7 linked regions of the Danio rerio genome follow. The main gene of each other region encodes a partner of the protein of the gene in region 2 in a complex. Links are inferred from orthologs where the notes say so. Each region holds a gene or a part of one and is shown on either strand. Other genes may lie near its edges.

Region 1 (4,238 bases), on a different chromosome or scaffold from region 2:
GCTGCCGTCATCAGTCTCACGCTATTTTTTTCCTTTTTCTAAAAGTCTTGATAACACCATCGAGGAGTTTTTTTAGTTGTTATTATCTCTCTCATTACAAATGAACAATGATAGCAAATGTTTAAATGTGGCTTGAAGCATTTTGAGCCAGAGAAAGAGGCCAGTGGCACTTGTAAATCTCAGTTTATATGTGTTTTCCATCAGATTTTTATTTTCACTCTCCGTCTTTTAATCCTGAAGTCTTCTGAAATGGCAATAATTATTTTTTAACATTAATAGATATACATAATTCATATCAAATTCACATTGTTTAGATTACTAGAATGGACACTTTATTTTTCTCCCAGTTAAACAGCCACTTAATGAGTGAGTTTTAGCTACTTGTAGCGTTCAGAAAAAACGAAATACCCATGAAGATACTCGACACAGAGGAACATAACCTACTGCCAGCAAGTGTACGGAAGTGTTATTGCAGAGCAACACAAACAGCATGTATACAGTAGTATAAATGCACGACTACCCGCAAGGCAGGCACCGTGGATCACTGCGATCACGCAGAAGTATAAATCAGCCATTTTAAAAGGGATTTTTGCACAATTGGTCCCCTTTTAAACAAGATGTAGACAGCATATTTTCTAAAGCAATCTAAATGTGTTCTTTGAGCTTCATCTTTATAGTGTTGGTTTGTGTTGCAGCTTCCTGAGCAGTACAGACTGATGCACATACAGCCACCAAAGAAGAAGAGCAAACACAAACACAGACATCATCACCCTCAGGATCCTCTACCGCTAGGTCACTTCAAAAGCTCATGGATTTTCACATTTTATTTCCTCTGTGCACCACATGCATGTTAACTTCCTTTCCCTGTGCAGAAACCCGCACTGACCCCACCAAGAAGAAGAAAAAGAAAGATAATGAACCTGAACGCAGGAAGAAAAAGAAAGACAAGAAGAAAAAAAAGGTGAGCCACTTTGTTGATGCGGCGCAGAATCTTACAAATTTACAATAATTAAAAAGTGTATTGTTGAACAAGGTTGAATGCTACAGGATGTTCCTGTATAAATAATAATGCGTTATTAAAATTTTAAAAATGTATACACATAGGAAGCAGCTTTGCTTTGGTGTAACATCTGAGCAGCCTTGAACAATGCTCTTTATAATTATTTATCATTTTTGCTTCACACAAATATTATTTCAACAGTAAACTGTGTTTATTTTACATTTAAAAGGATGTGTAAGCTTAATGAATGCGCCCTCTTTTACATGAATATTTTACACTAATATAGTTGTGCATATATACTTTAGATTAGTCAGTACTAAAGCTAAGACTGGAACTGATCTAACAAAAAGACTTAACATCACGGTCTAAAAATGAGACCAGCCAAATTAATTAAAGGTGCAGTAGGTGATTGTCTACAGAAACATTTTTTGATGTGCAGGTTGAAAGTCTCTTCACATTCCTATAGTAATGATTAAATTAAATGATCTAAATGTATTTACATGTATTTTTGTATTCTGGGTAAGTCATAAGACTAAAAAATGTTAATTCCCATAATTCTGATAAGTAGCCCAAACTGTCTGTCAACAAATGTAGACTTGTACATCTGCGCTGCTATTCGTGCAAATCTGCCGTTTGTGTGTGCACGTGCGTTCACGTGCACATGAGAGAGAGCGCGACCAGTAAAAACAAATGCTGAAACAAAACTTTATAATCCTGAATCAATATTGAAGTTAGTTTTTATGCTGGAGGAAGAACGAGACCATGGCTGAAGTATTTCTTTTAGACAGGTCATGTTCTGTTTTAAAACTATTAAGTCACACAAAGCTGATGTAGATTCTGTTGTTTCACGGATGTGTTATATGCACGAAAGTGTAATTCCTGCACCCGCCAGCCAACCACTAAGCATACAGTAGTGGCTTTAGGACAAAACGTGGGAGAGAGTGAGACCAACGATCCTTGTATGGATGAAATATTGCACATTATGACAAGTTTTGCTTGCTACACGACTGAAAACATGCTGGATATAATACAGTATTTTGTACTTTACAGTAATAAAGTATTGTAAAGTTTTTCAACTGGCGAATGACAAGAGTTAGTGGGCTGTCTACTGTCATCTTTGCAGTGCGTGTTTGTGATTTCAGGAGGCGTGGCTTTGAAAAATAGGGGTGGGACTGTTTTCTAAGATATTATGCTAACCGGTTAGCATTTTGGCAGATCACCTACTGCACCTTTAATGAGAAACTTTTTGTACAAATTTTCTGTCTCTCTATTCCTGAATGCGTTAGGCGATTTAATTTAATTTGAATAAATATAACAGTTTGATACAACACCAAAATATATTGACGATTCACAGAGAAATTGATTAAAAAAAATAGGAATTTTCCAAAAGGGTTGCAACTCATTTATGCTTTAAACCGTATGCATGTGTGTGTGATTTAATTTTTTTTCTTAAATTTATTTGAATAAAATCATTGTTTTTATCTTTTACTAAAACTAAATAAATTTTCAAACTTACTTTAGACATCTTGCTTCTCAATAAATGTGTCTTGATTTAAGTAACTGATAAGTTATTCACAATAGGAAACAAGACAGTATTTTGCAGTATAACATTTTATAAATAATATTAAAATATAACACATTAGGGCTGCACAACATATTGTTTCAGCATCAATATCACAATGTGATCATTCGCTATAGTCACATCGCACATTTGCATGTGTTTTTGATGCCGCTGATTGTATAAATGATTTTAAAAACATTCAGCTATATGAAATTGTACCATTTGTGACTTTAACAACAATTAATTTTTAATTATTTTTTATTTTTATCATTCAAGTTTTACTTGAATACTGTTAGACTCACACTTTATTTGTATTAAAACACTTTATTTGTATCTTTTTCTTGATTGTATTTATAGATTGTTGTGCATGAAAATACTCGCAACACATGCAAATACAGAAATGCACTGCAAATAGCACAGACCACAATGAAAATGTGCCAGAGGACCCCAAAAATGTTAAAAATAGTAATTATAAGAATCTAATTTTATAAATTATTTCCAAATAGAGACAGTCATCTGGTGAAATTTTATTCATATTGTAAAATATATTGCAGAGATATATTTTTTCCAATATTGCGCATCCCTATAACACAATATTAAATGCTCAATGTTAGTGGCATTCAAAATCAAATCGATGGTCTGCACAGTGTAGAATATGTCCCTAGAATCTACTTGATACCTTAATTATGTTGTAGAATAATTACTTGTTTATTGCTGGGACCTGTCACATTTAAAGTACACCCCATTTAGTCTTGTTAATGCATTTAAAAGGTCTTGGTCTGTTCCCTCTTTTCTTTTAGAATCGACACAGTCCTGATCATCCTGGTGTTACTGGATCTCAACCCAACAGCAACAGCCTGAGATAGAACAGTTGTGTGTGTGCGAGTGTGCTTGTTTGTATGTATGTTTGCACACATGAAGTGATGTTGAACTGTGTTAGAGAATCTGATATGGACCAGTGCGGTTGATTGATGTTTACAAGGGCCAATTGTTGATGATTTTTGACTTCTTTTTCTGGTTATGATGAAAAGCTCAAGGAATAAACTTTGTTATTCTTTATACAGTCTTTAAACACACTCTTTCTTTTTTGTTCACAATAACAGATCATAAAGTGTGCCAAGAAAATATCCCCCACACCATTACACCATCACTAGCCTGAAGTTGTTGATGCCACATTCTGACCATACCATTCGAATGTCACAGCAGAAATCGAGGTTCATCAGACCAGGCATAGTTTTTTCCAGTCTTCTATTTTCCATTTTGGTGAGCCTGTGCCAATTGTAGCCTCAGTTTCCTTTTCTTAGCTGACAGGAGTGGCACCCGGTGTGGTCTTCTGATGCTGTAGCCCATTCGACTCAAGGTTGGATGTGTTGTGCGTTCAGAGATGCTCTTCTGCATACCTCGGTTGTAATGAGTGGTTATTTGAGTTACTGTTGCCTTTCTTCCATCAGTTAGAAGAACCAGTCTGGCCATTCTCCTATGACCTCTGGCATCAACAAGACCACAAAACTGCCACTCACTAAATATTTTCTCTGTAAACCCTAGAGATGGTTGTGCATGAAAATCCCAGTAAATCTGCAGTTTCTGAAATACTCAGACCAGCCAGTCGTGATCCGTTTCCTTGCTGAAATAGTTTTTATTAGCATTTTACTAATTATTTTTATTGACGGTGCTTTA
Region 2 (4,550 bases):
ATACGTTTCTTATATTCTTTTCATTCTATGTGTGACATCAACTAAGGGTTAGCGCAAAAGTAATCTAAATGTAATTTAAAAAGTAGTCCGGATACATTACCATAAATGTGTAATCTAACTGATTTATATTACTGACTACACATTTTGTCATGTTATTTTAATCTGTAACAGAATTTGGTTTAAGTAATCCAAGAGTTGTGTTTTTACCGGTGGCATTTCCCGTAGCGTGATACGTCTCACAGTCCACCCAGAAGTTCCCCTGTTTTACGGCTCCCAGCTGCTCCAGCTTCCTGTGGAGAAGATCCACCGTCTGCTGGACGCTCTTACCCTCGGCCACTGGCACCTGACAAACACTGACACAAACACACACACATTTGAGACGTTTAATTTATTTACAATTAAAAACAGTTTCAAAATGGTAGTTTACTAAAGCAAGATCATTCTGATCAGTGTAAACATCAATAAAAATAAATAATAAAAATAATTGTGCGAGTCTGTGTGTGCATATGTGTAATGTCTGTCTATCTAGCTATATAGATAGATTGATATACTTGAGTAATTCACCTATGAAAACCAAACCCCAGGGGTCCGTTCTTCGTACATGCATTACTCAGTTATTATATAACGGATTTGGTTATTGACGATTTGACATGTTCCAGGATCGTTACGCTCTTCAAAACTCATCTGAGAGCTGTTGTCCTATCAATAGTTCTGGTAGCTCAAACCTGCTGGGGAGCAGCAGCTTGTTTCATATAAACAGGATAAGATCGGTTCAGTTCAAGCAAAGATAATACTGAAACTATGTAACGAATTCTGATCTTTTATTACAGTAGTTATATAGTTATATACACTTGGGAAAATAGTAAATATATTTTTTAACTATATATATATATATATAAGTTAAAATATATATAAATAAAACTTATGCAATCTGCACTCCGAAATAAAAGTACAAATACTGCCACCTGGTGGATCAAAGAGAAAATTAATGCAACCTTTTTTTATAAAGGAATAATACATTCATGCAGGTATTCGGTAATATGACTGGGATTTAATGCCTTCAAAAAAGTTGCAGACATCTTTACCAATAGTAAAATGCTTTTGTGATGCAAAATTAATTTAAACATCCTGTTAATCTTTATACCAATTAAGAAACCGGCTACTATAATACTAATATGGCGACTGTAATAAGGAAAATCTGCTCTAACAATAAAATAAATTGCTGAATACTCTTGACACATGAATGTGTAAAAAAGCCTGCAGCTCACAACAAACATGGGAAGTTATTGTGTGTCATATTTAACAAACCGTTTACTAAGAATTTTAAATAATTTTGCTCACATGGAGAATTGAATATTGATCAGATGATGTCATTGCGCTGCTGTGCCGTCAGCCAATCGCTGCATTGCTGATCATGATTTTGGGGATGGATAAATCTGCCCTTCACAACACACGCTGATCTCAGATGTGCATCCAGACATTTTAATCTAATTCACGAACCTGTTTGAGGAACCAAATTAGCCAGAGATCAGTTATCAAGATGAACAGATCAAGGATCTGCCAAATCATCAAGATCATTTAAGCAACGTACGGACCCCAGCTCAGCATTTCTGTTTGTTGTCAAAACTGACAGCTGGAGGGGCGTGGTTATGAATGTTAGCCCCGCCCATTGCCTAAAACCAATAGTATCTGGATGCAGCCTTTGTGATGCAAGCTGAGATTGCATCTCTTAGTGATGCAATGTCGGACACAATTGAGCTAGTGAGGTCACTTTGAGGGGTGGGGTTAGGTGAGCACATTAAAGCTGCAGTCACACTAGAGCTTGCGTGTGCGAAAGTCCGCCGTACGGCGCTGCGAAAAGGGGCGGGATTAAACAAGATGATTAGGCATTAATAAAGCGAGTGATTGCTGCATGTGTTTCATTTCTGTCCAGAGAGCTCATGTTGATCCTCGATTGGTCTCCCGCAGTCAAGTGATGTGATTTCGCAGGTCCGACTTCACCAAGGTTGAACTTTGCACTGAAGTGACCTGCGAAACTTGACGCATGACCCTGCGTTTCCAGTCTGACGCATTCGCGTGTATGAATGAAGTCTATGGTGAGAAAAGCCCAGTGTAAGCACAGCTTAAAGTATTGGATGCAGCTCAGATTGCATCTGCACCAGGTCTGCAGCCAGACCCCTCTCTCAAAAACACACCATCTGATAATTTAACTGAAAACAAACAGGAAGAGCATTTTCAGATTTCAATTAAAGATTAGAAGGGCAAACTATTACATTTTCTCAATAATATGCACAGATGAATTATTCACCACAGAACTAGCACTGTGAGCTAACAACAACAACAAGGCTAGTTTTCATTTCATGGGCACTTTAATAAATTTTAAGACCCCGCGGACTCCCTGAACACTACTTAAATGAGTGCTTGTAAACTACAAAACTTGTTAAATGTTTTTTTATATGTTTGCAGTAAATGAAGCTGATAATCTTACACTTTTTTTTATACAAAACTTCGGGAAAACCTCGTCAAATATCCTTATATTTCATCTTAAATGTTAGTTTGAATGAACACGTGCACCTGATAATAATAACAGGCCTTCATTGTGTTCTACACAACACTAATAACAGTTTTGTAAAGTACTTTTAAGAGTGACATGTGATGTAAACATGTATAAAGCAATAAATAGACTGATGAATGAGGAGCAAAAGCCTCTCTGTGCATTCAAACAGCGCTGAACGGGAGCATCAGGAGCACCAGAGAGACTCAAAACAAGCACAACTGAAAATATTAATTATTTGAGGACAATACTTTATAAACAAAAGTGTTTCTCACCACGTTACACCCATTTCTTCGAGACAAACTTCCGCAAGCCGGGGTATTTACTTCCGGATCACTCGAGTTTGCGTGAAACACGCGAAATCAGTAAAAGTAAAACACTTAAATTCGATAAAATAAAAATATTAACAATCATTAAATTCATGTAATATAAAAACATTAGCCGCGCTAAAAATGAACAGAGCCGAGATCTGCCGAGCCTCGAGCGGAAGTAAACAGTGTGACGCAGCGCCGCTCTGGGATCAGTAGTTCTGCGCGCTCCAAAACAGCGCTCATCTCTCCAACTGCTCTCAGAGCAGCACTACAGACATATATCTATGTATACACACACACTCTCAGCGCCATTGCTCTCAGACCCACGTGTGTGCAGCTCTCCGCGGCGCGTCATGTGTTCAGACGCGATTTCACACTCATAATTCCTCAGACAGACAGGCAGATAATACTAATATTGATAACCGTCATCATGCCGAAGGTGAAGAAGGCCTGGAGCGGCGGCGCGGTGCCCCTGGCCGAGCAGATCCTCCAGCGGGACTCAGTGCGCTGCAGCGGCCGGCAGAAGCAGCGCGGCCGCGGGCAGGAGGAGCAGCAGGAGTTCGTGGATGAGAAGCTGAGCCGGAGGATCCTGGAGCAGGCCCGCAGACAGCAGGAGGAGCTGCAGGACACAGCCGAGGAGGAGCGCAGGACACCGGCGACCAGACTGGGTGAATGCTGCACTCACTGACTCTCTCTCTGTCTGTGTCTGTCCTGTTTTACCAACTGTCTGTCTGTCTCTCATCTGACTGACTGTGTGTCTGTCTCTCTGTCTGTTTATTTGTGTATCTATATGTCTGTCTATCAAACTATCCGTCAATCTGTCTGTCTGTTCCTCCATCTTTCTATCCATCTGTCTATGCCTCCATCTGTCTCCGTTCGTCTGTTTCTGTCTATCCATCTTTCTGTCCATCTGTCTATCTCTCTGTCTGTCCTTCCATCTTTGTCGGTTTGTCTATCCCTTCCTCTGTCTTCATCCGTCTGTCCATCTGTCTATCAATTTTTCTGTTTGTCTGGTCTGTCAAATCCTGTGTCTGTCCATCACTTCATCTCTCTCTTTCTAGCCATCTGTCTATCCATCTTTCTGTCCTTCTGTCTATCCCTTCATCTGTCTATCCCTCTGTCTATCCATCTTTCTGTCCTTCTGTCTATCCCTTCATCTGTCTATCCCTCTGTCTATCCATCTTTCTGTTCGTCTGTCTATCCCTCCATCTGTATATCCATTTTTGTGTCCGTCTATCCCTCCATCTGTTTATTTCTCTATTTTTCTGTCTTTTTGCCCATCTGTCTATCCCTCCATTTGTCTGTCCATCTGTCTAACCCTCTGTTTGTCTATCCCTCCATCTGTCTGTCTTTCTATCCCTCTGTCTATCAATCTTTCTGTCCTCCTTCTTTCTATCTCTCTGTCTGTCTTTCCATTTTTGTCGGTTTGTCTATCCCTTCCTCTGTCTTCATCCGTCTGTCCATCTTTCTGTCTATCTTTCCATCTTTGTCCATTTTTCTATCAATTTTTCTGTTCGTCTGGTCTGTCTAATCCTGTGTTTGTCCATCCCTTCATCTCTCTCTTTCTAGCCATCTGTCTATCCATCTTTCTGTCCTTCTGTCTATCCCTCCATATGTCTATCCCTCCATCTGTGTATCCGTCCATCTTTCTATGTCTCTGTCTATCCATCTTTCTGTTTGTTTGT
Region 3 (4,252 bases), on a different chromosome or scaffold from region 2:
CATGTCCACTTACTTTCTTCCTTCATCACTGTGGTTTTGGTTTCCATTAGCTGAGAGCAGCCGCAACAGGCAATCAGCAGGCGCCGGTCACTGGTGCTCCACCCAATCAGGTCCAAGGTCAAGCTCAGGCTCCTGGTGGAGGCATGCTCCGCCTCCAGAACCCAGGCGCAAACCCCCAGCTCCGCAGTCTGCTCCTCAGCCAGCAACCTGTAAGTGTGCGGCAGGGCTGTTAGTCAGTATTAGGGCTGCACAATATATCGTTTCAGCATTGTGCGCATAAGCAACAGTCACATCGCATGATATATGCAATGTTAAGTCTAAATTATTGTTGACCAGGAGCCACAGAACACATGCGGTTTGTTGAGTCACTGCTAAGTTTAACCATAATACAGTGAAAGTTTATCATTTGCATGTGTTTTTAAAGCCTGTAAAAGTACATTACAATAGAGTTTAAACATTGGGGAACAAATGTTATGATGTTTGGAGGTGTAACAAAGATTATATGTATTTATTTATTTATAATTCATGCAAAAAATGTTTTTTTTTACTTACATTTTAGTTTCTAGTCCAAACATCTACTTTTCAAAGCGATGCTGAAAAACCTGTAACCATGAAAGTCAGTGGTTTCAGCTTTAATCAAAATATGTTGTTTATTTTTTTATTTTTTTTCATAGAATCACTTGATGGTAAGTAAATAGTGAGTAAATGTTCATTTTGGGTGATCTATTTCTTTTTACATTAACATTAAATAAATTGTCGGCTTGTTGAATAGTTTGAATTTGAATAGCTTTGTTGAATAGTATCTTGAGATCATCTGATCTAAACTAAAGGCCTGCAATTATATGGTGTGGCCAGTGAGGCGCTGTAGCACAAGACTGCTATAATTCAGCTCTCTCTGATGCAATAGACTTGCTGCTTTGGAGATTATGGCTCAATTCCAAATGGCACAATTCAATGTGGTCCTGCGGACTTAAAATGGCTGCGTGCCACTTAAGAAGGGTACTCACAAGCCCCTTCTTTGTGGCACTGTATGCACATCAGCTGAGACCAGGGTTTTAATCCACATTTTGAAGTATAACAACAGTAACCAGAGATTTAAAGCAACAACACTAAACTGCAAAAGAAAATATGATGGCGTTGACTTGTGGGAAAAGATGTATACAATCTGATCTGATGTGGTAAGCAGTAAACACATGTAACTAATGGGCTATATGCACAGCTAGCGTTTTCAGCCACTGCTAAACTTCCGGTGAAGGGTTAATGTGACTATTTTAAAGCTTATAAGGTTCCTTTTACAGCATCAACATCTTAATATAATTAAAATACAATCAGTTAAATAATCTTAATCATTTATTTAGTTGGTCAAACATGAAGCCAGATGAAAGACATTGAAAAATTGATGTAAAATACAATTTCATATTTTAAAGAGATGGCAGGCAAAAATGGAATTTTATGTGCTTCATGTCTGGTCTTCATGACCCATTTTATGTCGTATATCAAGCAGGCAGTGAAGATCACTTATTTGTAAAGAAATCAGATCTTAAACGTAACGATTTTGTAATGAAAAGACCAGGCTGGCTGGCTAATAACTAAAAGTCTGTGTGCATATAGCCCACTAGCTGTTTCACTAGTATCTGTACATAGAATTAGTTTTAGCAATTGTAAGCTGCATTGCACTTCAAAAAATGCATTTCTTATATATATTTGTCTTGTTTCTAGTCTAAATATTTCAGAATCCTTTAATTAAGAAACATTTTTTAAAACTGTGAAATTTTGCTTAAAACAAGCTAAATAATCTTGTTTTTAGTTTTGGCAATATTGTTTTTCTTAACCCGTTGGCAGATATTTAGCTTGTTTTAAGGATATACTCACTTAATTTTCAATTCAATTCCTGTTTATTTCTATAGCGCTGTATAGCAATATAGATTGTGTCTAAGCAGCTTAACATAGAAATTCTAATAAACTGAAACTGTGTCAGTCAAGTTTTCAGAGTTAAAGTTTAGCTTAGTTCAGTTCAGTGTAGTTTAATTTTCACTGCTGAACTTCCAAACACTGAAGTGCAAATCCATCCATGAACAGCTCCACAAGTCCCAAACCAAGCATGCCAGTGGTGTGGAACAGACTTCACCAATTGACGAAAGTGAAGGGGAAAAAAAACCTCAGTTGGCCACTACCGTTTCACCTCTGGCCAAAGTTCAACTATATTTTGACATATTATTTTTTAAAACAAGACAATATGTTTTGCTTGTCAATAAAATGTTTCTTGATTTAAGAATTGTTGATTTTTGAACTAGAAACAAAACAAAAAATATCTAAGTATCTAAGAAAATTAAAAAAGAAAGGTAAAAGAAAAGTTAAACTAAAAAATAAATTAAAAACAAGTTTTGTTTTGTTTTTTGCATCTTGGACATTTTTATAACTTTACAACATTTGTAAATAATGCTATATGAATATCCCAAATCAAACAAAAACTGCTCAGGGGTAGCTTAAATAATGTGTTGGTGCTCTTTGGGTAAGGGATTCATAAGGGAGTTGACAGAGTTTGCATGAGCTCGGGTTTTATCTCAGATTTGCATATATATGGAAGTCTTTGACTTGTATTGAAAAAGAAACTGCTTTGCAACTGCTAAAGAAATAATTTCTATACAGTATGAATTACTGCTTCATTGTGATCATGTGATTTAGCAGAATCAGTTGCATTGCTTCTCTGCTTTCACAAATTCTCTTCTGCGGCCTCATGTTGTATTAAATGTGTCCTAATTCACTCGACTGAACTAGTAAGTCATTTTAGCAGTTTTAACCTACTCTTTTATGAGTAGAGTGAAATAAAAATAATAATTTCTTTGATCACATACTGCTTTGACATACTATATAGTGGGAAAGTAAGCGATATTTAGATGCAGCCATGTAAAGTCTGATCTATGAAGTTTGACTTGCTTTTATATGCCAGCCTCTCTATGTACAGCAGGGTGGTATGCAAGGCATGCAGGGGATGCATCCTATCCAGCAGATGGTCCATGCAGCACCAGGAGGGGGCGCTCAGATGCAGCCTCAGTGGAGACAGCCTCACCAGGGTAACGCTTAATTTCCACTACAGTATCATTAGCACCATTTATTTTTATCACATCTGTGACCTTGTTAATTGTGTAAGAGATTGAATTTATTTGCTGTGGTTTATGCTTCATTTCATTTCCCCCCCAAACTTTGTAGATTTATATTTCACATTCCCACAGGTCCACTAATGGTCCCGACGGGTCCACGTGGTCCAGTCACACAGAATCCAGGGATGCCTTCGGTGTCGAGCGTCATGGAGGATGAAATTCTTATGGATCTAATCTAAGGACTGTTTTCCCATCATTCTTTGCTTCAGAGGTTTAATTACGGAATATGAAAGTCATCATCTTTTTTACTTTTTGTTAGAAGAAAGCGTGTAGGGGAAGAAGGACTTTATTTTCATACTCAAGTATTCGTTGATGCTTTTACACACAAACTTATCACCGTATCATGTAAGCGGTTCATATGGAGGAACTGGAGGAAAAGACATTTACAAAAAATTAGGTTCCACTTTGAAGACTCAACTACTCCTCCCATTCATAAATGAATGAATCAAATCCGGTTACTACTGTATTTTTATGAGCATTTTACTTTCTTTCGGTTTTACTTTTTTTATTATTTGTCTTTGAGATCTAGCATGTTGTTTTATGAAAATTAAATAAAGTTAATTTTCTCAAGCAGCTTTTTTTGTGTTAAAAAGTCTCCTAAATGGGCAAAGTGTTCCCCATGAATACAAAGGAAGATGTTTTGAATAGTTCATCTATAATTGAAGTCACAGGGACACAAAACTGCTCATTTATCTGTGTAGTTAGCAACATTTTTCATAACTGATTTTTTTTGTATTATGTAGCCAAAAGCATTTGGAATGAAACAAGTGGGATTTCAATCAGGGGTTGCCAAACTTTTCAACCTAAAAATATCAATGCCGGTGACTCGCGTTTAGGGCTTCACAATTCTGGCTAAAATAGGAATCACAATTTTTATTTATTTTTTTGCTTAAAATCAAGATCACGATTTTCTCACGGTTCTGTAGATGTAAAATAAAGGTTAATAAGTGTAGGCTATTATAATGTTATTCTCAATCATATGGTTAAACAACAACAATAATAATAGTAGGCCTTTGTGTAGGTCTACTGGTGGTTGTATAGGTGTATAGACTTGGATTGATGAACTTGAACATTAACATGTCCTGGTTGTG
Region 4 (4,232 bases), on a different chromosome or scaffold from region 2:
CGGTTCATACTTTCAGTATGTTGTTTATATAAAATGAGCCTGCTCCCTAGCAGGTTTGAGCTATCGGAACTGTTGCTATGACAACAATTTTCAGATCAGTTTTGAAGAATTAAACGATCCTTGATCATATCAAATCGTCAATAACCAAACCCAGCTAAACTGGAGTCATCCATGTGCGAATAACGGACCGCTAGCAACAACCAGTACAGCAAAGAAACAGCAACATGACAGCAACAGCAAGTTAGAAGGCTTAAAGAGAATGTCTGTTTCTAATGTATTGGAAGCAGATATTTACGTAGGAACAACACAACAACAAAATGAAGTGATGTTTAACACAATTTGCCGTCAGTTTAACAAGTCAACCACCTTTTATTAATAGATTTTGAACTGCAAAAAACCTGCACATTTTCCATACTGCTCTTTTTGTTTGCATAACACTTTGAATTTTGCTCATTATTTATTAAAGCATCTTTAAGTATTGAAATTCGAGATTCACAGACATTGTTTTTGACACATTATTTAAAATATGTGGCTAAAAATAGCTATCATCTTAGCTTTTTTTTCTCTTCTTTTTTTATTTTTGGTGGGGTCAGTAAAAAATTTGGCAGGGCAAGTAAAAATCTGAACCACTGGCCCGATCGGACCAGTAGAAAAAATCCATAGCGTTAAACCCTGAACAGGTCAAAGTTAAAAATAAAAACAAGCATGTCATACAATATATTTTTATTTGTTAAACATAACTTCTTTCAAAACAAGAGTATCAGCATAATGCTGGTGAGGGAAAAAAACAACATTTAATTTACAAAACATACCCAGAAGCTGACTATTAATGGTAGTAACACGCTGATGAACATTACACAAGGTAAAAAACAGAGGTCGCACAATAAAGACATGCGATGGGAAATCAGCTTTCTTTAGTCCAGAAACCGATGTGAAACAGTGAGTCTCCTGCAGTCGATGTAGGATGCGTATAAAATCCCTGCTGTGTCCCGACACTATAGTTCATGTTGTGGTTTTTTTCTGTCAGGATTCTGGAGGTGTTTGCTGACTCGGGGCTCCGCTGCGGGTGCGGAGCTGTGATTGGGCGATGTCTGCTAGTGCCGTCTGGATCTTCTCCAGCAGGGCGTCTCCTCTGTAAACCACTTCCTCCAGACGCGCTGCAGCTTCCTGGTTCTCCTCTTCCAGCTGTCGCAGACTGGCGGCCTAAGAAACGCATCAGAAATGACAACAAGTAGAGACGAGGTATAATGCTAATGTATTGTTGTTCACTCTGTACTTGGACAACATGGGTAGCACAGAGCCAGATGTGCAATATATGTGGCATGGGATGAGCAATTAACAGTAATCAAGTTTGTAATATGATTAATATCTAGCTAATTGGTCATTTGTGTATTATTGTCATGGTATATTTCAGTGTTTCTCAAATCCATTTCTGGGCTCCTACTGCTCTGTACATTCAGTGCAGCTTCTGGAGCTTTCTTCTAGCAAGATGATATTTATAATCAGGTCCATTATGTAGGCATAACTCAAAATGTGCAAAGCAGTGGCTCTCCAGAAATGGATATGAGATGCACAGGTTAAGCTGAGATTCATTTTTAATGCAACAATATAATTTACAGTTGATTTTCTTCTCTTTGAGTGCCAGAACTCAAAACCTGAAGTGCAGAACAACCATATTTTAAACAGCAGAAGGCTCAATAATTATATAATGATTCAATAATAATAATGTGGTGTTGGCCAGTGATACAGTGTGTGTGTGTATATAATAAATGTACCTGCAAGGCTGCAGTGGATTCTTCACTGGGCAGAGAGTCGATCAGCACATCAACATCTTTTGCTGTTCTTGCTATCAGCGCTGCAAACAGCTGAGCATATTCTAGAAAAAACACATCTTAGTATGTCAACTTCAAAACACATTATTTTCAAAGTGGATCACATTCAGATCAGTGCAGATGAGAGCACCTTCTGTGGGGTTTGAGGGCTGGTCTTTATTGATGGCCGTCTGGATGTTGCTGAAGGAGGCCGGTGGTGCGCACTGCTGCAGAACTCCAATCGCATTACAGAACTGATCCGCCAGCTGAAACACGACATGCAGTAAATCAGACATGCAGGACAATCCACTGTTACTTTCAGTTTACATGTTCTTTGACATGATGAGAAGTATTAGTACTCAGTGCTAAGATTGTGAATTATGTAATATATGAATAAACACAATTACATGTAATGTTTGATTAAACAACATTAATTTAAAACAATTTAAAAATAATTAATATTGCACTTTGAAGAACACAAAAAAAGAAATATTTAAGTGTACTTCACCAATATATAAGTAACAATAGCACTTACAGAAATGTATGTATATATTATATGTTATATTATAATTATATAACGGTGCCTTTTATATACACTTACTTAGATTATAATAGGACTATTATTTTCAGTTTCGTTTTATTTATAACAAGTAAAACATTTATTACAGTATCAAAACACATATGACAACAAACTTCACCTGTTCATTTGTTCACAAATTGCACGCTATGCTAACACTTCAGACGCTACAGTACATCAACATGACTTCTTAAGCAAATAATCCAATTTAATGAACCAGACTATTAAGTAAATCTGTTCGGAAGACATTTGCTGTGTTCTGCAGTTTCTGAAGTATAAAATAAACGTTAAATGAGTCTTACGGAGTTCACAGCATCCTGAAGCTGCGTTAGCCTGTCGGCCATGTTGGCTCCTCTTCACAGTTTCCGTTTCCGCCGAGCGCGTTCAATGCTACATCACGTGATACAGCGCAGCGTACAGCGAAAGCGCTCGTCTACTGAAAAGTTGTTGCATTTTCGCGCAAAGCAGGAGTGCTTGACACTTCCGGAGGCTGGATGTGAAGCTTCAACATGACTGCCGAATGTAAATGCTTCTGCTAAAGCGTGTTTATGGACTGGACTGATCCGGGAAAATGCCACTGAAGAGAGAATGTTTGGTTCTGCTCGTCTTGTCGTGGGTCGGTTCACTGCGCGCTCAGGATGAGAGTGAGTAACGTTAAACCCCTAATACCTTCTTTATTACGCTTGATAAAATATATAATCCCTATATAACGCACATATGTGGCAAATAACAGTTGTTTAAAGTGTGACTCAGCTCATTTAGCGACATATGAATCGAAATCAATCATGTCAACTATGTATTTCTAATCAATTAGTGATTGATATGATGTTGCAACTGATCTAAAGTTCACCGTTACGCTAAATAAACACAAACATCCCAAAATATCTTACTTATCACGCTTAATTAATTATATAATCCCTTTTAAACGCACACATGTGACAAATAATTCGTGTTTGTAGAGTGAATCAGCTGCCGACATATCAATCTGAAATAATAATCCTAAGAATGAAATGCTGATCAATTAGTGATCGATTCGTGTACTGATTTAAGGTCAATATATCAATCTGAAATAACCCTATTATTGTTACCACATAATAGCTAACATAGAGGTAACGTTGCTTTTATAGTCGCACATTCGTTTATTTAGCAGTCTCTGTATTGTTTACCATGTTAACGTTAACGTTACTTTGAATATTCGATAGACATTAGCAGGCAAGGATGACTTCAAAACAACATCGACAATGATTTCCCTATTTAGAATTTGTAAACATTACTTTTCTGAAATTACCTTATTGAGGAGAAAGTCTGAATATGTGAATATAAAACAGACTTTACCTCTATATAGCTAACTATTATTGTTCTAGTGTATTTGGGTTTTATGACTGCTTGTACTGTTTATAAACTGGACTACATTGATATTTATGAGGTGATGATTGCTGATAATGTAAATACACACACACACACACACACACACACACACACACACACACACACACACACACACACACACATACATACATACATGCATATATATGTGTGTGTGTGTATGTATATATGTGTTTGTGTGTGTGTGTGTGTATGTATATGTATATATATATATATATATATATGTATATATATATATATATATATATATATATATATATATTATAATTTAACACTTTAGTGAATCTTAGACAATGCATAAAATAATTAAATACATAAGTGACTGATTTATTTATTTGTTTAATTTTTCATACACAAGAAAGACATTCATTACGACTAATATAGTAAGAATATTAATCTCACACTTGGGAAGATAATAAGTTTACGGTAATCAGATGTATAAACTGAGCAAAAATATG
Region 5 (3,771 bases), on a different chromosome or scaffold from region 2:
ATGAAGAGTTCAGATGCAAAACCCTAGAAATCAGGCATGGGCAAACTTGATCCTGGAGGGCCGGTGTCCAGCACAGTTTAGCTCCAACACTAATCAACCACACCTGAACATGCTAATCAGTGTCTTCAAGATCACTCAAAATCTAAAAGCAGGTGTGTTTGATGAGAGTTGGAGCTAAACTGTGCAGGACACCGGCTCTACAGGGTCAAGTTTGCCCACCCCTGCTCTAAATCCATCAGACCTCTTTTCTTTTAAATGAGCGCGTTCATTTTATATGTAATGATAAAGTTATTAGCTGGTAAATAAAATAAATGTTTTTCAAAAATATCACTTTATACAATTCTTTGGTTTTTAACAAGGTAGATTTTATTTTGCATCAAAACCAGCTAAATCCACTAGTGCTTTTTATGCAAAAACCTCTAAATGCACCTATTGATACAAGACAGTGTAATTAGTTGAAAATCACTGAAGATACAATTAGAAATTATTTTACCAAACATGAAACACATTACACAAAGCACCTGAAATTAAAAATACATCTGTCATGTAAGTGGCGGTTCATTCCACTGTGGTAACCCTGGATAAACCAGGGACTAAGCAGAAGGAATTGAATTAATTATATCTGTCAAGTAAGTGCATTAATCAATAACATTAAAATTGACAATAATTAAATCTTAACAATCTGTTGTCATTTTTGATATTTGGGATTTGGATTAAATGCAAGTAGAGCAATTTAAACAAGCTTGTTAGATTTAAATAATGTAGTGTAAAACATTGTGACACATCAATATCTGTGCATTGTCCATTACTAAAGAAAAGAAAAGAATTTGTTGAAGTAATAGAAATAACGTATAGTTGCATACATTATATTTATCTTTTAAAACATAGCTTGCATTAGCAAATAAAACACAAGGTAGACCTACTGTGCAAAAAAAAAAGAGGATGTCTCTCAGGAGCTGTCATTTATCTATCCTCACTATACTCAAGATCTTGCTATCTTTTTGGTCTCTTGTTTATCCTCATAGCATCCACGCGGGATTAAAGAACAGCATCTTAACTTTATTTCATGAAATGAAGTTGGTGTTTAATGCAGTAAGAGTAAATCGGACCCATTTAAAGTAGCGCCGCAGCGCAAACAAACGTTATGAATGCATGTTACACTTCCAACTGTATATTGTGTTTCCATTTTCCTATGAGTTTTGAAGTACAGGACTTTTATTTGCCATTCACTGACAGTCGGAGAGGCTCATCCAGTTCATCAAGCTTCATCTTTTAAAATCGAAAGCGGAATGAAACAGACTCATAAAGCCGGCGTATCAGCGCACTGCTATATTGAAAACATATGATTCGATTCACGCCTTCTGATTGGTTCTCGGGATATATCGGCTTTTGCTGTCAAAGGCAAGTGGCCTTTAGCGGCTTTTGCAAACAAACTGTTATTTCTAAATGCACTGACGCTGGGATTTAGATCATTTCAAACAAAACTCTTTGTTGAACATGTACTACGTGCCTAAAGCAATGTCATTATCTAGTTTTTGCCGGAAATGCATTTAGCGGTCTTTGTATCCGAATTCTTCATATATTTGCCTCCATCCAAATAATCTTAACTGGGTTCACACTGTACAGTTGGTACTAAATATTCAGATGCCTTCTTAACTGATGTTTTCACCACTTTTATTATCTTCATGTGTGTTTGCGTGCAGCATTTGTAGCTCTACATTTAGCAGAGGCTTTTATCCAAAGTAGGTTTCAAGTTTGTCTCTCTCTCTCTCTATGTGTGTGTGTGCTGAGCATGCACACAAGATGATTGCCTCACCATGGTAAAGGGCATAAACTGCAGGATGCTGCTGCGGCTGCCTTGCTCTGAACAGTCCACACACTCCTCAACAAAGCTCTGAACAAACTGCGTGTGTGGGCCTGCTGTCTTAGACCCCAACTGAGAGGAAATCAACAGGAAGAGATTTGCTAGAAAGGGGAAAAAAACATAAGAATTGTTTTTGACTAAATGGCACAGTCTGTAAGAGTGTGAGATGCTATGATGATTATGGTACTAAGGTGCAAGATTGCGAATATGATATTTAATTTATACATTCAGGAGAAAATGAGCACAAACCCAGCACTCGGTTGAGAGGATCTCTCATGTTGACGGTGTGGAGCTGAGAGGCAGACAGTGAACTGCTTATGGAACGGTCACCTACAGAACACAACATCAGTTATTTTGAGTGTGTCTGTTCTTATCGTCAAAAAAAGATGTTCCTTTGTTGAAATCACAAAACAGAAATGAGTACTAAGTTCTAATAGCCATCAAAGCAGATTTTAATAAATCAAGTCCTGTTAACTTCCCTTTCTCGGTTTACTTTATAAATAAAACCAACTTTCATTTCTAGCTCTTCCTTTTTTTGTGAAAGTGACAGACTAGTCGTAACAAAAGTGTAAAATTAAGCTTTAAGCTATTGAAGCTTTAGATTTTGATTTCCTATTTGTAAAATATTTTGTCTAAAAGACTTTAAAAAATTAGTTCGTATCTTGTTTTAAAGAGTATAGAGAAGAAATTGGGCACACTTTACAATTTTAGGGTTTTATTAGGCAATTTATTTACTAACATGAACTAATTATGAACAATACTTGCACAGCATTTATTAATTTACTAATGTATTAGTGACATCTAAATGCATGCTTGTTTACGTTTGTTAATGCACCGTGAGTTAACATGAACTAACAATGAACAACTGTATTTATTAACTAATGTTACCTATAACATGAACAAATGCAGTAATGAATGTATTGTTCATTGTTTGATTACGTTACTAAATAAATTAACTAATACAACCTTATTGTAAAGTGTTACCAACAAATTATAGTTCACCCAAAATGAAAATTTACTCACTATTTCCGCACCCCCAAGAAGTTTCAAAACTTTATTATTTTTTTATCTTGTAGAACAGAAAAGACACTTTGAAAATAAAATCCTGTAAACATTGACATCCATAGTTAGAAAAACAAGTACTACAGCTGAAGTCAGAATTATTAGAACCCCTGAATTATTAGCCAACCTGTTTATTTTTTTCCCCAAATTTCTGTTTAACGAAGATAAGATTTATTTAACACATTTCAAAACATAACAGTTTTAATAATTTATTTCTAATTACTGATTTATTTTATTTTAGCCAAGATGACAGTAAATAATAATTTTCTAAATATTTTTTTCACGACACTTCTATACAGCATAAAGTGACAAAGGCTTAACTAGGTTAATTAGGTTAACTTGCCCAATTATAATAACATGCCTAGTTATTATATAACGGTCATTTGTTCTGTAGACTATCGAAAAAAAAATTAGCTTAAAGGGGGTAATAACTTTGACCTTAAAATTGTTTTTAAAAAATTTTAAACTGCTTTTATTCTAGCCGAAATATAGCAAATAAGCAAACCTCTCCAGAAGAAAAAAATATTACAAGACAAACTACTATCTAAATATTATCTCTGCTCAAACATAATTTTGGAAATATTTAAAAAATAAAACAAAAATCAAACGAGGGGCTAATGATTCTGACTTCAACTGTATATAAACCAATGGTTACAGGCTTCCAGCTTTTTTCAAAACATCTTCTTTGGTGTTTAACAGAAGAAAACAAGTAAAGGTTTGAATCAAGTAAAGGGTGAGTAAATGACAGAACTTTCCTTTTTAATTGAAATTTTAAAATGATCCCTCAGGCAAATAAGATAACTGGTTACAAACAACATGCATTGCAGATTTGATGTAACTACTTT
Region 6 (4,478 bases), on a different chromosome or scaffold from region 2:
GCGACCCCGGATTAATAAAGGGACTAAGCCGAAAAGAAAATGAATGAATGAATGAATATTTTTATTTAAAGATTTTAATTAGCATTTCATCAATTACAAAAAAAGAAAACAATCATCAAAAATATTCCAAATAAATGCAGTCTTAACACCTATTCACCGAATTAAAAATCTCAGTCTGTAGGTCATGTTCTCTACATGAGTCTTTTGGGATCAATCTTCTCCAGGTGAACGAGAGGTTTGAGCTGTTCTGCGAAGCTCCTCATGTCCTCAGACACAGTGTCCTGTCCCGCAGGAGCCAGAACGCTCAGCTCAACAAGATACGACAGAGAGAGCGGCTCCGTGTTATCCGTGTTTCCAGGAACCAGCACACGCGACAGTTTGCTCACCACCACCTTCATCACACCCTTCCGGAACACCTGACCCTTGGCCACGAACTCATGGTCCATGCGGAAGCCCATCTCATTGAGGAAGTCAGGCAAGCTGTGCGAGGCTGCCACGTCCACGCAGTTCCGCACCAGGGCATGACGGCTTTTGTCGCCCACCTCGGGCTGACCCAGATAGCGCAGGTGCCAGGGGACGGAGGGGTCGAGGAGCGAGCGGCGGGCACGCAGGATGAACGGGTTGCCCTGCTGACCTTTCAGGAGATACACCAACTCGTGATCAGCAAAGCTCTCAGGCTCCATGTTATCACACAGGCCCCGGAGGCGATGCAAGAGACTCTCCAGAGATTGGTCCAGTACACTGCCTGTGCCAAACAAACCAACAGAACACAGCCAAGTCAAGATGGATAGATAGATAGGGGGTGGGATGGATGGATGCATAGATTAGGGGCATAAATAGATAGATAGATAGATAGATAGATAGATAGATAGATAGATAGATAGATAGATAGATAGATAGATAGATAGATAGATAGATAGATAGATGGATGGATGGATGGATGGATGGATGGATGGATGGATGGATGGATGGATGGATGGATGGATGGATGGATGGATGGATGGATGGATGGAAGATTAGATGGATGGACGGACGGACGGACGGACAGATAGATAGATAGATAGATAGATAGATAGATAGATAGATAGATAGATAGATAGATAGATAGATGGATAGATAGATGGATGGATGGATGGATGGATGGATGGATGGACGGATGGGGGATGGATGGATGGATGGATGGATGGATGGATGGATGGAGGGAGGGACGGATGGAGGGACGGACGGACAGACAGACAGACAGATAGACAGACGGACGGACAGACGGACAGACAGACAGACAGATAGGGGAATGGATGGATGGATAGATAGATAGATAGATAGATAGATAGATAGATAGATAGATAGATAGATAGATAGATAGATAGATAGATAGATAGATAGATAGATAGATAGACAGACAGAAAGACAGACAGAAAGACAGACAGAAAGACAGACAGAAAGACAGACGGACGGACGGACGGACAGATAGATAGATAAATGGATAGATAGGGGAATGGATGGATGGATAGATAGATAGATAGATAGATAGATAGATAGATAGATAGATAGATAGATAGATAGATAGATAGATAGATAGATAGATAGATAGATAGATAGATAGATAGATAATTTAAGCCTGTTCCTATACATCAATAAAAATAAAATTGTAATTGTGACTAATTTGTCTCAAGTAATGTCACAATTTCTCGCAATGTGGTGTCAATTTCTTAGTTAATGCTTAATAAGTCACTAAAAAAAAGATGTAATTGTTTTAATAAATTTAGTTATTAAATAATACATTTCAGTTGTATTTTTTTACTTACATTAACTTATTAACTGTAATAAATGTCGATATCCCTCACTGTGGCTTTTTGTTTTAATGTATGAACTAAGATTTACTAATGAGACCATATTTTGAAAGTGTTATTGATTATACTTTATGAATTAGCTGTATAATTTTGTTAAAAATGTATTTACTCCGAACACACACAAATCTGGTAACGGTTTAAGTAGGAATGGTAATATATGACCAAATAAGCAAACTATATTATGCAAACAATAAGACTCAGCAAAAAGAACTCTCGTGTAGCACAGTGCATGCTATAATTGTATAATTTAAATTATAACAATTGTAAATTATAATACTACAAACACTACAATGAATACATTGTATACATACTATTATTATGCTAAACTATTCGTTTTATATAACGTTAGCACATTCATAAAGTAATACTGTAGTACATGTTTTTATTATACAGAATCCCAAATTAAAAGTCTTAAGGAATTAAAGAAGATTAGGGTGCGTTAAATAAAAATAGTTTAAAACGCTAGAAAATGTGTGTGTATTGTTTATAATTACATATTCACTTTAACATATTCAACGCTTTATTCAAATGACTTTGCTAATTAAAAAATTGAGATTGCTCATAATGGGTATTTAAAAACTAAGTTAAAACTATTTAATAAAGTGTAACAAATGATAAATAGGAATGAATGAATGGTAAAAGGAGTTGTGCTGATGGTGTTGTTTACCTTGCAGAAGATACTCCATCATGTTTATAGTTCCACCCGTGACGGGCATCACAGTAACCGGCGGAGCCTCCATCACTCTATTATTATTACTATTACTAGTATTATAATTCTGAACTTAAGTCTCTTAATACATTTACAGTCAACGATCAGTTGAAAGATTAACTTAAACTAGAACTTTAACTGCTGTAGAAAACATCCACAACAATAGACATGCTAAGACGTGTTAGAAGATATTATCAACAAAAAGCAGGCAGACGATGAATTAAAAATAGCATATATTGTACTTGTATCAAAAAGCAATAAACAAAACTAATGATTTGCGTAAAATACTACGAAAAAATAATGTGTCTCGATGAAACTGCGTCCATGTGAGTAAAGCGCATGCGCAGTATGGATAGCGAGTACTGCGCATGCGCATTGTGCAACGCTTGCTCTATTCTTTTAGGCGTGCATTTAGTGACACCTACTGGACTGAAGTGAACTCTTTATCATATAAAATGGGTATTAAAATTGAGTATTATTAGCCTATTATTAATAGCAGGAGAACATCAATTATGGTTGCGAAAAGCCGATTGCCCTGTTGATCAAATTCAAGTCAAGGTGTTTGCTTGCAGAAAAACTAATGGCTCTAAGAGGTGGGTGTGATTTTGCCAATGCAATCATGGAGTGACATCTATCCTGGAACATGTCCTACATGAAGAAATAATTAGGCTATTCCTAAAATACAATATATTTTTTTTTATGGAGTAATGGAAATCACTATTTTAAAATGGAAAATTATGTGTAAACAAAAATGCAATGGTGGGTTATCGGTGTTCATTTTTTAAAACTTTAAACAATACATTCAAAATTAATTGGTTAATTAAATACAAGAAAGAAAAAGACAGTAAATGGTATACTTTTCCATATGGCGCAGTAGGTAATGCTGTCGCCTCACAGCAAGAAGGTTGTTGGTTCGAGCCTCGTCTGGGTCAGTTGGCGTTTTTGTTTGGATTTTGCATGTTGAATGTCCCTCCCTGTAGGGACTAAGCCAAAAAGAAAATGAACGAATGAATGAATGAATGAATGAATGAAGTTATATTTTGTGTCAAAATTTAGTCAATGAGGGAAGTTACTTTAAGTATATTATACGTTTCAGTGCACTGGCAGGACTTTTTTTATTAATATTGTTATTATTATCATCATCATCATCATCATTTATTATTATTATATTGTTATTTTATTATTTATTTTTTCTAGCATTTTCTTAGTTATGTGCATTTCTCATAAATACCTAGTTTTATAAGCTCACGTTAAGCATATTTTCCAAAAATTATATTGTTTTAATAATTGTTATTATTTCATATCATATTATTTCCAAATAGCTTAAACATGCATATTTACCATTTACATGCAGTACGTACGTATGAACCAATGGTATGAACCATGAACGCAAAGCAGTCGAGTAACTTTTATTGTGGAAAACATTAAATGCACTGTGACGTTTATTTTGAAAATAAATCGACATGTGGAGACCTTTATTTTGAAGTTTCGTGCCATCTTAGGGCTGCATGACATCGCTGGCTGTTGAAGATGAGCTCAACTGTAATGCTTCCTGTCGACATCTAATGAATGTAATTTACTATTATGTGTCTTTTACTTACGTTTGGATGCAGTAGTGTTTGTAATCGAGACAGTTATGGTGTTGTTACCAGCTCCAAAGGTGTGTCTCCGAGTGCTGTGTTTTTCTGTCAGTCCTTATTTATTTACACACATTATCAGTCTGACACCTTCAGATAGGCGAATAAATGCCTCAAACACATTAGATAAGTTGGTCTTTTAAAGATGTGTCGTTTTAAAGTTGTTCGTTCCTGTGCTGTTTGTCATAAACAGTGTTAAATGCTAACAGTAAGTTAGCCCAAGTTAGCAGAGCCAACGTTAGTGTTTTTATATTTAAATTTCCTCTTTTAAGTGTAAATGCT
Region 7 (3,771 bases), on a different chromosome or scaffold from region 2:
TACTATGTTAAACTATATTGTGAAATATATTGTTACCATGAAATTACATCCTACACAGTAAAGTAGAATCGTCACCCACCTCTAGCTACAAGTAAACCATTATTTTAATTTTACATTTGTTTTTTTAATAGGTGGTTTGCTCCATTTTTAGAGATAAAGCAAGTTGATTAAATCCGAGACAAAATCACAGTATAAATAAAAACTTATCAGAGACTAAGGACTAAGTCTTTCATCATCTAAACCGATTTATCAACTGCCAATTTATTCTGAATAGAACATGCTTCCAGTCAATTAAACAGTCAATTAAAACTGCACACATATTATGTTTTGTCATATTTTGAATCCCGTGACATTAAAAATGGTACATCATTTTAACCTTTTCCATGAATTGTCTTTTTATTTAATTAGTCTTTACCAGGACAGCAGCACTGTTATTTCCTAAATGGTGATGCTCCAGTACAAGATGGAAGGTCTCTTCAAGGAGCTTTGGTTTCCAAGATTCCCTTCAGACATCCTGCTCAGGTGCCTGCTCTCCTTGACATTATAAGACATCAGGCTGCTTACAACACGTTGATTGGCAGTTGCGTTAAAAAGGCCTGCATTAAGGAAGGTGGGTTTCTTTCATACTATGTGTGACTGTAGGTGTTTGCAAAAGAAAACTTCTATTTGCACTTTTTTAATCTGTATAGCCATTTTTGCACATTGCAAAAACCCTGCGCTTTCTGAATTTGCAGTGTACTTTTCAAGAAATGTATCGAGCTAAACAAGGTAACCACATACGATTTTGTTAGTTTCCGTCATTGGATTAAGGATATTAGCCCCTTTCACACAGTGATACCGGTAAATTTCTGGAAAATTTCCGGAAAAGAGCATTCACGCATCCATTCCAAAATACCGGTAAATTCTGACATCATTCACCACAAATGAGCTTTAAATGGCTGCACTTGTATTTGTAAACATTTGACTAAATTACAAACTCTGTGGATGATCAATATTGTGAACAACTTTCGCAGGATCACTTTCGTTTATCAAGATGTTCATAATATGTGCGTGTGCAGGCGCTCATAGGCGCACGCAAAGCTTGAAGGTAAACAAACAACGGCTTATCATAAGCATTTCATCGATGATTATTTACACAGTTGGCATTAAGAAGAACATATAAACGTGATCTGACTAACTTCTAGCAGCTAAATGTGTCTGGAAAAATATTCAAAGGCTTTTATCCTCACAAACCGCGCGGACGTAAATGCGTCTGACTGTTGTGATTGGCTAAAGCAGACGTCTCACGTCAGCACGCTCTAGACGTGCACGCGCTTATTACGTGAATCTTCCTTCTGCATTCACACAGCGCAGCATTCCGGCAAATTGCCGGTAATGTTAAAACTTCTCTTTCCGGAAAATAGCCAGAACGAATTTACCGGTATTTTCAAAAAGGACCTGTTCACACATACAACCTCTGTATGTGTGAAAGAGGCTATAGCCTAGTCTTTGCCAGTTTTTGTAATGATGATACATACATTATATGCTATTTATGTGCGCGGGGAAGTATAGGGTGGTGCGTTCAGTGCAGAAAGTCCAGGATTCATGCGTAGTGAGGTACCGTTCAAGGGTCGGGATGGGAGAGGATTCATTATGAAATCATGCCGGCCATCTGCCTCAACAGCATCAGTTGTGTACTCCTCTTTCAGTGAGCTGCAGCAGTCCCCTGATCGGCACAAGTGGTGTGCTGATTGGGGTGAGGGAGCCATCTCTATGGCAGTGCTGACTACACACTGACAGAAGAGTTAATCATAACACTTTTGACCAAGCCGTTACCAGTTTGATGACCTGTTGTCTCGTGTCGGTAGGAGGATTTTCCTTCAGGACACCAACTACAGGCAGTACTTCATAATCGCACCACTACTAGAGTAAGCTCCTGATTGGGTAACACGGCGTGATTGGTTAACATGGCGTGAACTTGAGAGATTTGTGGGAATTACACGTTAAGAGGACCAAACACTGAAATGCTCAGTTTCCGTTGTGTCATTTGATTGAATTAAATGCTTAACTCTTCATCTGATCTGCATCTTGTGTGAACACATCGTTAGAATATGGCCTTGAGTGTGGATGTTGCTTGAGTTGATGAGGTCTATGTGTGTGAATTTTTAGCAATATCATTGATCTTTGACCAACTACACTAAATTCAAATTGGATTATTGGCTGTGATTTTATTTTTATTTTTTTTATTATCTTTGTTTTAGATCCTGCCGTTGACAGTTTTCCATTATGTTCAGATACCTCTTTCTAATTTTACTGTTGTTTTCTAAGATCTCATTTACTGCTTGGTTCTTGCTAATATCTGGAGATTAAGATACCCGTTGGACAAACAGTATATTTTCTTTTCACATGTCCAAAAATCATATTCCAGGATAGACTTTTTTTTTAGTTTAGTCCAAAACTATTCCTTGTGTTAAAAGAATGAAACATCATAATACATCAATGTCTGACCATTCTGCAGTCACAATCTCTGTAGATCTAGCCAAAATTAAGCCTGGCTTTGTATTTAACAGAGCTGCTTGCTGAGTTTCTTAAATTCAATGACATCGGTGAGGTTCCCAGTTTATTGTTATGTGAAAGCTTAAAAGCAGTTCTAAGATGAAACGTATCTTATGAGTCCAGTTTTAAGAAACAAAGGGAAAACGTCTTGTAGAATTTGATAACCGGTTAGATATATACAGGGGTTCTTTAGATTTGGATAGGTTTAAAGAAATTACTACACTCAAAGTGGAATATAATTTAATTCTTTCTAACCAAGTTAACAATATGTTGTTACAAGTTAAACAAAAGCAATTTGAAATTGGGGATACACCTTAAAAATTGCTTTCTTGTAAGCTTATGGTAATTCAAGCCACTAGTGCTATCCATAAAAAAAATTAAAAACAGGGCTGATATTCCTTTAACAAATCTTACATGACCTGGCCCAGATGGCTTTAGTATAAATTTTTCATTAAAAAAATCCCCTTTGCTGTTAAGGATACTTAACCATTAATTTAATGAGCATAGGCTCCCCGAATCCCTTTCATGCGGCAAACATTTATTTAATTCTAAAAAATAATAATAATAAAAAAAATACTTGCTAATAGATTAAACTATTGCTTAGGAAAAAATATTCATCCTGACCAATCTGGATTTTTTCCTGGTTGTTTTTCTTTTATGTTCTCTTCTTTCTTTTATTTTTTTTAATGTCAGGCAGATAAGTATTTTGTACACCAAATCTGATTCTAAAATCAGTCTTTCAATTCTTGCATTGGTTGCAAAAAAAGCATTTGACCAAATGGAGTGCGACTATATCTTGTGATGTGATTAGAGAGTCTAATTTGGGTGACATATGCATTTTTTTGGGTAAGGATTTTCTTTTTACTTGATCATCTCAGTTCCAGTCACATAGAGGCACCTGTTGTGCTCTTTCATCACTGCTTTTTAAAATTGAGCCCCTCACCCTTGCTATCAAAAAAGAATCCCTTGATTTTGCCCCAAAAAATAGGTCAAATGAACCATAGTATTTCTCTTCATTCAGATGATATTATTTTATATCTCTATTCTCTATAACCCCAAACAATCTGCACCTCTGTTAATAGCTATTTAAGAAACATCTGGAAAATTCTCTGGATACTCATTAAACTGGCAAAAAATAAATACATTTTCACAGTGACTAATATTATTGATTTAAATGTATAAATAAATTTACCTATTTAAAATAGCCACAAATAGTTTAAAATATATTTATTTGTA

Evidence for each region.
Region 1: med20 (region 2) and med19a share a complex: the UniProt entries of both Homo sapiens proteins name them as parts of the mediator complex. The link is inferred for Danio rerio from reciprocal best matches to the Homo sapiens genes MED20 and MED19.
Region 3: med20 (region 2) and med25 share a complex: the UniProt entries of both Homo sapiens proteins name them as parts of the mediator complex. The link is inferred for Danio rerio from reciprocal best matches to the Homo sapiens genes MED20 and MED25.
Region 4: med20 (region 2) and med21 share a complex: the UniProt entries of both Homo sapiens proteins name them as parts of the mediator complex. The link is inferred for Danio rerio from reciprocal best matches to the Homo sapiens genes MED20 and MED21.
Region 5: med20 (region 2) and med24 share a complex: the UniProt entries of both Homo sapiens proteins name them as parts of the mediator complex. The link is inferred for Danio rerio from reciprocal best matches to the Homo sapiens genes MED20 and MED24.
Region 6: med20 (region 2) and med18 share a complex: the UniProt entries of both Homo sapiens proteins name them as parts of the mediator complex. The link is inferred for Danio rerio from reciprocal best matches to the Homo sapiens genes MED20 and MED18.
Region 7: med20 (region 2) and med1 share a complex: the UniProt entries of both Homo sapiens proteins name them as parts of the mediator complex. The link is inferred for Danio rerio from reciprocal best matches to the Homo sapiens genes MED20 and MED1.

Annotation. Positions count from the first base shown.
Region 1 is NC_133189.1:26,390,809-26,395,046, reverse strand, and holds the end of med19a (mediator of RNA polymerase II transcription subunit 19-A), read left to right. Parts: intron 1-695; coding exon 696-792; intron 793-872; coding exon 873-961; intron 962-3,361; coding exon 3,362-3,427; 3' UTR 3,428-3,620; downstream 3,621-4,238. UniProt on the Homo sapiens protein: Component of the Mediator complex, a coactivator involved in the regulated transcription of nearly all RNA polymerase II-dependent genes.
Region 2 is NC_133197.1:573,849-578,398, reverse strand, and holds the start of med20 (mediator of RNA polymerase II transcription subunit 20), read right to left. Parts: upstream 3,070-4,550; 5' UTR 2,844-3,069; coding exon 2,830-2,843; intron 1,501-2,829; exon of another isoform or gene 1,342-1,500; intron 354-1,341; coding exon 208-353; intron 1-207. UniProt on the Homo sapiens protein: Component of the Mediator complex, a coactivator involved in the regulated transcription of nearly all RNA polymerase II-dependent genes.
Region 3 is NC_133178.1:29,240,511-29,244,762, reverse strand, and holds the end of med25 (mediator of RNA polymerase II transcription subunit 25), read left to right. Parts: intron 1-50; coding exon 51-209; intron 210-2,965; coding exon 2,966-3,074; intron 3,075-3,233; coding exon 3,234-3,340; 3' UTR 3,341-3,734; downstream 3,735-4,252. UniProt on the Homo sapiens protein: Component of the Mediator complex, a coactivator involved in the regulated transcription of nearly all RNA polymerase II-dependent genes.
Region 4 is NC_133179.1:2,082,870-2,087,101, reverse strand, and holds med21 (mediator of RNA polymerase II transcription subunit 21), read right to left. Parts: upstream 2,778-4,232; 5' UTR 2,733-2,777; coding exon 2,691-2,732; intron 2,078-2,690; coding exon 1,963-2,077; intron 1,877-1,962; coding exon 1,776-1,876; intron 1,204-1,775; coding exon 1,024-1,203; 3' UTR 709-1,023; downstream 1-708. UniProt on the Homo sapiens protein: Component of the Mediator complex, a coactivator involved in the regulated transcription of nearly all RNA polymerase II-dependent genes.
Region 5 is NC_133187.1:11,197,398-11,201,168, forward strand, and holds part of med24 (mediator of RNA polymerase II transcription subunit 24), read right to left. Parts: intron 2,195-3,771; coding exon 2,114-2,194; intron 1,966-2,113; coding exon 1,817-1,965; coding exon of another isoform or gene 1,772-1,816; exon of another isoform or gene 1,732-1,771; intron 1,682-1,731; exon of another isoform or gene 1-1,681. UniProt on the Homo sapiens protein: Component of the Mediator complex, a coactivator involved in the regulated transcription of nearly all RNA polymerase II-dependent genes.
Region 6 is NC_133191.1:7,708,771-7,713,248, forward strand, and holds med18 (mediator of RNA polymerase II transcription subunit 18), read right to left. Parts: upstream 2,857-4,478; 5' UTR 2,591-2,856; coding exon 2,518-2,590; intron 746-2,517; coding exon 192-745; 3' UTR 45-191; downstream 1-44. UniProt on the Homo sapiens protein: Component of the Mediator complex, a coactivator involved in the regulated transcription of nearly all RNA polymerase II-dependent genes.
Region 7 is NC_133187.1:16,874,019-16,877,789, forward strand, and holds part of med1 (mediator of RNA polymerase II transcription subunit 1), read left to right. Parts: intron 1-408; coding exon 409-610; intron 611-3,771. UniProt on the Homo sapiens protein: Component of the Mediator complex, a coactivator involved in the regulated transcription of nearly all RNA polymerase II-dependent genes.